Daphnia pulex: one gene and its partner. The protein of the gene in region 1 interacts with the protein of each later gene in a pairwise test. Links are inferred from orthologs where the notes say so. Each region holds a gene or a part of one and is shown on either strand. Other genes may lie near its edges.

What was found.
Region 2: the proteins of ubiquitin conjugation factor E4 B-like (region 1) and E3 ubiquitin-protein ligase CHIP-like interact in a two-hybrid assay, tested with the Caenorhabditis elegans proteins (2 studies listed by BioGRID). The link is inferred for Daphnia pulex from reciprocal best matches to the Caenorhabditis elegans genes ufd-2 and chn-1.

The regions. Positions count from the first base shown.
Region 1 is NC_060017.1:3,665,547-3,669,474, forward strand, and holds the start of ubiquitin conjugation factor E4 B-like, read right to left. Parts: upstream 2,769-3,928; 5' UTR 2,651-2,768; coding exon 2,618-2,650; intron 2,548-2,617; coding exon 1,348-2,547; intron 1,278-1,347; coding exon 738-1,277; intron 671-737; coding exon 474-670; intron 391-473; coding exon 201-390; intron 142-200; coding exon 1-141. UniProt on the Caenorhabditis elegans protein: Acts as an E4 ubiquitin ligase mediating the assembly of polyubiquitin chains on substrates ubiquitinated by another E3 ubiquitin ligase. The elongation of preexisting ubiquitin chains preferentially targets ubiquitin 'Lys-29' and 'Lys-48' residues.
Region 2 is NC_060019.1:9,014,602-9,018,441, forward strand, and holds E3 ubiquitin-protein ligase CHIP-like, read right to left. Parts: upstream 2,556-3,840; 5' UTR 2,360-2,555; coding exon 2,270-2,359; intron 2,188-2,269; coding exon 2,061-2,187; intron 2,001-2,060; coding exon 1,929-2,000; intron 1,857-1,928; coding exon 1,729-1,856; intron 1,645-1,728; coding exon 1,531-1,644; intron 1,464-1,530; coding exon 1,407-1,463; intron 1,329-1,406; coding exon 1,212-1,328; intron 1,155-1,211; coding exon 1,029-1,154; 3' UTR 809-1,028; downstream 1-808. Other genes in the region: CD82 antigen-like, read left to right, coding at 3,118-3,192, 3,386-3,601, 3,725-3,840.

The DNA of each region.
Region 1 (3,928 bases):
TCGGATTGTAAATTTGTCATAAAACTCTGATGCTGCTCCGGTGGACTCAACATCTGCGTAGAACTTCATCAGAGAAGGGGGTAACGCTGATTGCGAAATTTTATGAGTCAGCAATCGCTCATGTAACGTTTCCGTACGAGGCTAAAGGGATAAAGAAATAAGAATAACAAGGAAATAGTTAAAAGTAAAATTTCGTATACCTGGACTGACGGATTCATCATGAAGAGCACTTCAACTAACTTAGCCACCAGATAAGGATTGTTGAAACAATGAGCTGAACAGACCAGCGTGAGCAACCAGGTCATCACCATCTGATCCACCGTACGAGCAACAATCTGAGGCATGTGCTGCAGGGCAAGTAAAAGAAATTCGGCTATATCTTCGACGTACCTACAGGAATAGATAAAAGAATTAGCATACTATAAAAATAGCTTTCATTTTGAGAAAAACCCGGATGAAATTTTTTATATTACCACTCTGGGTAGTTTGCAAAAAGAGGTGTAGCTTTAGATGGAAGAGTAAAGTTATTCGTGGGAAACATAATTTCTGGACAAAGGGTCTGCATTTCCAATTCTGCGGCCATGCTGTTAAAATGCATGTAATTGCTGATGAGTTTTTCGTCCATCAACGCAGCTTCGGCGCAAGGTTTGCTTAATAAAAGCTTTTTCACCTAGTAATTACAAATTTAAAAAATTAATTAAGTGTTGGCAATCGAAAATCAAACATTTTTGACCAACCTGTTCTTGCCACATAGCAATAAGCTCCCTATTTCGGCGGGCTGCTGGAGTTTGACTCCATTCTGCTTCTGAATTTTGCATTTCGTCAACGAGTTTTTGATAGTCTTTAAGAGCACGCATCCTCCGCTGATGTCGTCTTGCGGCCGGCAAATATGCTAAATGCTGGGCATGCAGTGTCATAAACCAACATTCAGTAGGGAATTTACACTCCTGCCAAATGTGTCCAGAATCTGGCTGATTCAGTTGCTCGACCCACTGCTGGCTTTCTTGTGAATTCACTCTAATTTTGGTTTCATTGGCCACACTATTGCTAATACGACTCTGTGGGTGGAACGGATAAAATACATCCACTTTGTCAAGCTTGATTTTGAGTGAGAGCTGATGCATAACAGCAGCAAGATTGAGAAAAAATCCGTCACCAGCAACAAGTCGCGATTCAACATTGATCATTGAACGCTTTTCGTTTCGTTTGAGTGCAACTGCGATCCACTGTAATGTGGCCTCACGCGATCCACTGTTTGCCAAAAGCGCATAAAACACCTAAAAGAAGAAAGAAATCAAAATACGTCACCACTCACCAGTGTCTTAACTAATGAAGACAAAAATTTACCTTGTGAAGAAGATTGCGTGTCAATTCCACCTCTTGTTGAAGGCTAGAAACGATTGGTCGTGATTCATTCCCGGTAGTTTTCAGTTTATCGGCGATTCGTACGTCATCTTCTGCGAAAAGTGATGTACACAGGAACGGCCCAAGGAAAGTAAACTTCGCAAACTCACGACCCGTTGCCTCTGTAAGTGGCTCTACAAGCCAATTCCCCATCTTAATCATGAGATTACAAAACGGACGAGTAGAGGAGTTGACGCCTGTTCGACACTCGCACAAATCCGAGAGGACTTGTAGGGCTGCGGTATGCGAGCTATCGGAGACTGAGCTCTGTTGAGATTCCTTCCGTATAACTAGAAGTAATGGTGAGAATATTTTGGTAAACCGGACATAATCTGACTCAAGATGATGAACCAATTCATAGAAAAATTCAGATGGTAAACTGTGTCTCTTCAGGTGTTCATACAGGATGTTGTAATAATCCTTCTTGATTGGCTCTGTTAGAAAACCTTCTAATAATAGGGCAAGAGCAGCACACAATTCAGTCTTGATTTTCACCAGGAGCTCCTTTACTGATGAAATACTGCACTTCTTGGAATATTTCTTCATATGTTCTTCCATCCTTGTATAACAGTCAATCAAATACTGAAGACAGTTGCTTTCAGAGCCTTCTTGAAATAACTGGTTTGGCTTATCCAGAGAATACATTATAATATCTAAGGATTCCATTATCATGTCGCCAACTGTCTCCAAAATATAGTGATTGTTCACAAAGCTTACACTTGTCACAAGAGGATTGTTTGGCCAGATGGCAGATAAAACAATACAACTCTTCTCTGGTTTTCGTGACACACAAAGAATTTTTGCAACAGTTGTGTTAAGGAAGTCCTCAGTACACAAAGTATCAGCATTGGATTGGACTTTAGATGGAGTTCCGGTAGCTGGTTCATCAGTGTCCATGGCTTCAATCTTGCGTGGTGTTGCACCGTCCATGTCCATAGCTTCAATTTTTCGTGGAGTTGTACCATCAATATCCATTGGATAATTTTTAACAGGAGTGGAGGGAGTGTATAGCATTGACACATTTTCCATGAAAATAGCATTGCTTGGTTGTGATGAAGTTGAGGCTGAAGACAAACTAGGGTTGCTCATTGGAGCAACTCCAGTGGACATCACTGCAAGGCGGGCCAACCTTCGCTGGCGTATCTGTATAAATGAATTTCGTGTAATAAGCTACAATTTGACAACCTTTTTTATTAATTTCAGATAATTCTACCTCTTCTTGAGTTAGTTCACTCATGATGGACATAAACACAGTGCTCAAAGTATCACAAATCTTGCCTTGTCATTTGTATGACCAGCTGATTCGAGAGAATAAAGGACTACGGTTTCCAGTTTCCACAACACTAACACAGTTTAGCCTGAGTAAACTGAACTGAGCATAGAAGGATCTAGCGGTCAACTTTAAAAGCTGTGACCCGACATCTACCGTAAAATACAAACAACTGCTTAAAAAAAGAAAAATTGTCTAGCAATAACATGAGACATGAGTCGAGTTCACATTGTTTATCGTAGTGTCGGTCTGTCGGACACACAGAAAACCTTTTATGGAATAGATTTAACCTCGTGGAAAATATGGTTGGGTAACTAACTCTGGAAGTCTGTCTCACATTTACCTCGAGTTGAGGGAGAATTGTTGGACCAGCTAAGTCGTTGCATTTCCTAGTTCTGTTTCCCCCCCCCCCTAAAAAAATGTCAAACTGTTGTAAATAAGGTACACGAATAGCAGATCTCTTTTTTTTTAATTCAGTTGGGTCGAATATAACGTCGAAACAGTCGGATACAAATTTGAATGTATTTCTGTTGTGAGCATTTTTCAGCGATTTCCTCGATCTTCAATGTTGGGTATAAATAGTTAAATACTCGTAGGTCTAAAGAAGTCCATATTGTTAGCTGATAATTCTCTGTGGGTTACGTGAAACGAGTGGAAGATAAGTTGCTATTAGCAATTTATTGAATTTTCGTTGCTTGTAACTTTATTTTCAGTAATTTATTCCCCTACTCTTCCAGGTAGAGTAGAGAGCCAACAATATATAGAGTTAACTAACCCAAATACGGAGAAGGGAGGGGGGACTTTTAGGGGAAAACCGTTCATCTGTAACCACGTACCCGGTCGTACCCGGTACGCCAAGCTCCTTCAAGGTCCCAGTCGCCTATAACCTAATTATCCTTTGTACACAGGAAAAAATGCATATCCTTACCTAATACCAATGCAGTTTTCTGGGTATTATCTACCGCTATTACTTAATCATATTCCACAATCTGAATTTTCTGGATAGGCTACTATACCTTGCTATTATATATTCTTGTTCCCTTCTGGATGGATTTAGAGATTTTACAGATCAGTACTGTTTTATAAAGGAAATGGACCTTACTGCCAAATGTATAACCAAAAACTAATAATATTTAATCAACCGCATTTACAATATAGAATTTAATATTTGGAATATCGGATCGAAAAACTAGGTTATGTATACACTATGTAGCCTACCTGCCTTTCCGTGTAGGGTACTTTTACAACAAAGTG
Region 2 (3,840 bases), on another chromosome or scaffold:
GAGCGATAAAAGCAACCGAGCGATCAAAGGAGAAAATGAAAAAGATGACACATTAAAAAGGCTTCAATGTCCCGCATTATTTGCCAACCAACTTTTATGAGAGTGGGCGGGACTTGTCCATCGTTTCCGTCGTCTATACGGCACACCCAACGCCGTTCGATTCGTCAGCTCGATCCTTTATAGGACAGTCGAAGCGCGAAGAGGGGGAAAAAAAAAGTTAAGAAATCGATGCAACAACAAGTGCTAGGCTATGCATTAAATTGAAAAACTTCAACTTGAGACCTAGGAACAGGAACAGTAACGTTTCCGCCCTTGTATGCACACTGCAAGATACACAACAGACTTCTCTCTAGAGTGCTGATAAGATAATAACTGTAGTTGACGACGTGGCAAACACAATTTACCCATGGGACGTTTATTATAATTTAAGTGAATATCGGTCCAGTCCCGTGCTGTACCAGGATCGATAGTACCGTCCGTTCAAGTCGACCCCCCTGATTAATGACCAACTTAACCAACTCTGATACAATTGTCCTTGGCCACATCCACAACGAACCACGCCAAGCTCAATTAAGTGCTTAATGAAAGGAAACGTACCAATAGAGTTCGGCTGCAAATCATCAATTGCCTTTGGCTAAAGTAATAAAATCAATCACCCACAAACAATTGTCAGAGGAGACGATAATTTAGTCTAAAGAATATAACCTATTGAAAGATTGGAGCAATCCTACAGGTGTAGAATCTGCTCAAGGCGAACTCTGATCCCAATAAAATCAAATTTAATAGGAGGTTCATAATCAGGTATATATAAAATTTCCAGCATCGTCTATTGAAGTACAACAGCAATGTGCAATCAATAGCGAAAGACTGTATAGCAACATTTACTTCCTGATTATCATCCAACCCGATAGGAAACATCACAACTGGGGCTCGGCGATTCAAATCATAATATATATCGATTTCATTTAATACAATGCGGCGGAGTTTTTAAGAGAATCAAAATCAATGAATGATCCTTAAAAAAGTGGTTAGTAGTGCTGAGCCCATTCGTTTTCGGTCAGGTACGAGTCGACAACTTCTTTCATGGAGAAATTTGGAATCAATTGGTCTTTGGTCAATTTAACTCGCGTCACAGGGTCAAAATGTCCAACTCGCTGCGTAAAAACAAATCTTTTGGCTAATATCTACTAGGCAATTTTGAATTCACTTACCTGCAAATGTTCTTCGATGTCTTTCCTATCGTAGGTTATTCCTGAAGGAGTGATGACTGGATCTCTCATGATCTCGAAAGAGATTTTGCCACATAAATAGTCTGGAACTTCACGTTTCTAACCGACACAATTACAAAGACAATTTCTTAATGGTATAAGACGTACTGAAACACACAGTTGAATAATTTATAGTACCATTCTTCGGTCATCGACGGTTGCGAAAAGGTCATTCAATTCAGCCAGGTAGCGATCCTACCGATTTTAATCAAGTATTATTAGTCTACTAACGAAACAAGAAAAATACTCTAGATATGCTCACGGTGACGTTCTCTATGTTCGAAATTTCGTTTTCCACTGAACTGTATTCTTTGTCTTGACTAACCAAATCGATTTGTCGATCTCGATCCTCTCGAATGAGCCTATTTATATACATCTATCAAAATAAAATCCAAGTTTCAAATGAATCATAATTTTTTGCAAAGTGGAGTGGACAAAGAGAATGTTATTAACAGACTACCTGTAGTTCGATTTCTTGTGAAATTCTTTTCTCCTCCTGCTTTGTAAAATGATGCTTCTTTGCCAGTCTTAACTGACTGGTAATATCATCCCCAAAATTAAGTTTCTGATCCATCGAAAGATCACGGGCTAATAACAAGCAAATTTCAATAATCAGATTTTATGTGTTCAAAATTTATGTTAAGTTGGGGAAATGAGTACCCCTTTGAAGATGTTTTATTGCTTCCTCATAGCATTCTTTTTCCATTAAAGCTTGGCCCAGAAAGAAATGCCCTAAACATAATAGCAATATATAGCATTTTCAGAGTATTTTGAAGAATTTATACTAAAAACCTTTCACCCAAGTGTTGTCTAACTCTAAAGCACTTTTGCAATCTTGCACTACTGCATCCCAACGGCCAAGCTTGAGAGAGCAGAGAGCTCTATTTGTGTAGTATTGTGGAACAGAACCATTTTTAAGCTAAAGAAAACAATTACAATTACTTTGATTTACGCGTTGCAAAACAAAATAATTTATGCTTAATTTAATTAAAGAAATTTACAATGGCTTTGGAATAGCATGAAATTGCTTCATCGAAACGTCGAGCTAAAAACAACTTATTCCCCTGATCTTTGTGTTCTCTGTCACTCATTTTCTTCTCTAAAAAAGAAACTATTGGGTGCTGTAGGATCGAGAAAGAATTTAAAAAAGCAACACTATCACATAAAATAGATACGAAAACGTAATTGCACAATTCCAATTAACGTCAGATATTCTGACACTAAAGCGGAAAACAACAAAAACGCTTTTAATAAATAAACTATAAAATGCGGATGAAAGTAAAGTAAAGTGCGGATTGTGGAAAGACCTTTTCACCGCCATCTACCATCCAATAAAAATAGATTTTAATCTATGATGAATACGCGCAGTAGACGCCATAACGATTCCTATCTAATTTGAAAATTAGGATAAGAAAATTAATTAGAGCTGTTAAAGCAGAGAATTTATTGAAATAAGCAAAAGAAAAGGTTATTTGGAGTGATATACATCCGACCTGGATACACGCGCGTACAATTTTGACTGCGCACTGCTGGGCTTTAACCTAGAGAACAGTAGGCGATCCGCAGTGGTTATTCTGGTTATTTACTTATTTAATCGTGTGACCATCTCAGGAGTTAAAACTTCGAAGCGTGAGACCAACTGGTGGAGTCAACGTGGTTTTATGGATTACGATATTAATGATAGACGTCACTTTTTTATACCGTTTGGGTTCCGGCTGTATTGCTTGTTTGCAAATGTATTTTCTTTTACTCGGATTTTGGGTTTCCTGTTAGTGGTACAGTAAGTTTCCTTATCACACGGGCTTTCATTCCGATTTGAAATAGTAACTGGAAAAACAGTCAAAGGGAAATGACGGACGAGGTTACGTTCCGTTCCCACAAGATTTTACGATGGAGTTTTTTGTGCCTCAACTTGTTAATCCTGGTAAACATATTATTCTATTACAATGTAATTGTAGATTTGTTAAAATATTAACAGTTATATTATTCCAACGTGAGTTTACTAAAGAATTTAACTGAAGATGGTTGAAATTATCGAATTAAATGTTGCGTTTGGAAGACTGGGTTTGTTATTGCTTTTCATAAAATATGATACTGACATATTCTTTGAAATGCAGTTGAGCGGCATTGTATTAATCTCCTTGTCGGCGTCGTCACTTGTACAACGTCAAGAATTTGCAAAAGGATCAGACAAACAGAAATTTTTGGTGGTAAACGACAAATATATGGTTATGAACATCGTGGTTGCAATTGCCGTCAGCGGTCTACTCATATTTCTTAGCCTATTCGGGATGTGTGGTGCCTTTGGCGAGAAAAAATGCCTGATATCTTGCGTAAGCTCGTGTTTGTATAAAAAAAAAAAAACAAAAAAAGATTTTAGAGTAATTTTCTTTCTCCTTTGACTAAATGGAATATTTCGCTACGATGAATGATTGCATCGCACTGCTCGCCTTCAGTACCTGGTTTTCGTATTACTAAATCTTGGATTCGTAATTGTGGGAGGAATAATGGTTCTTCGCTTTTCCAAAATAACCGAAAATTCTCTGAAGGAAAACATTTCTAATTATCACCA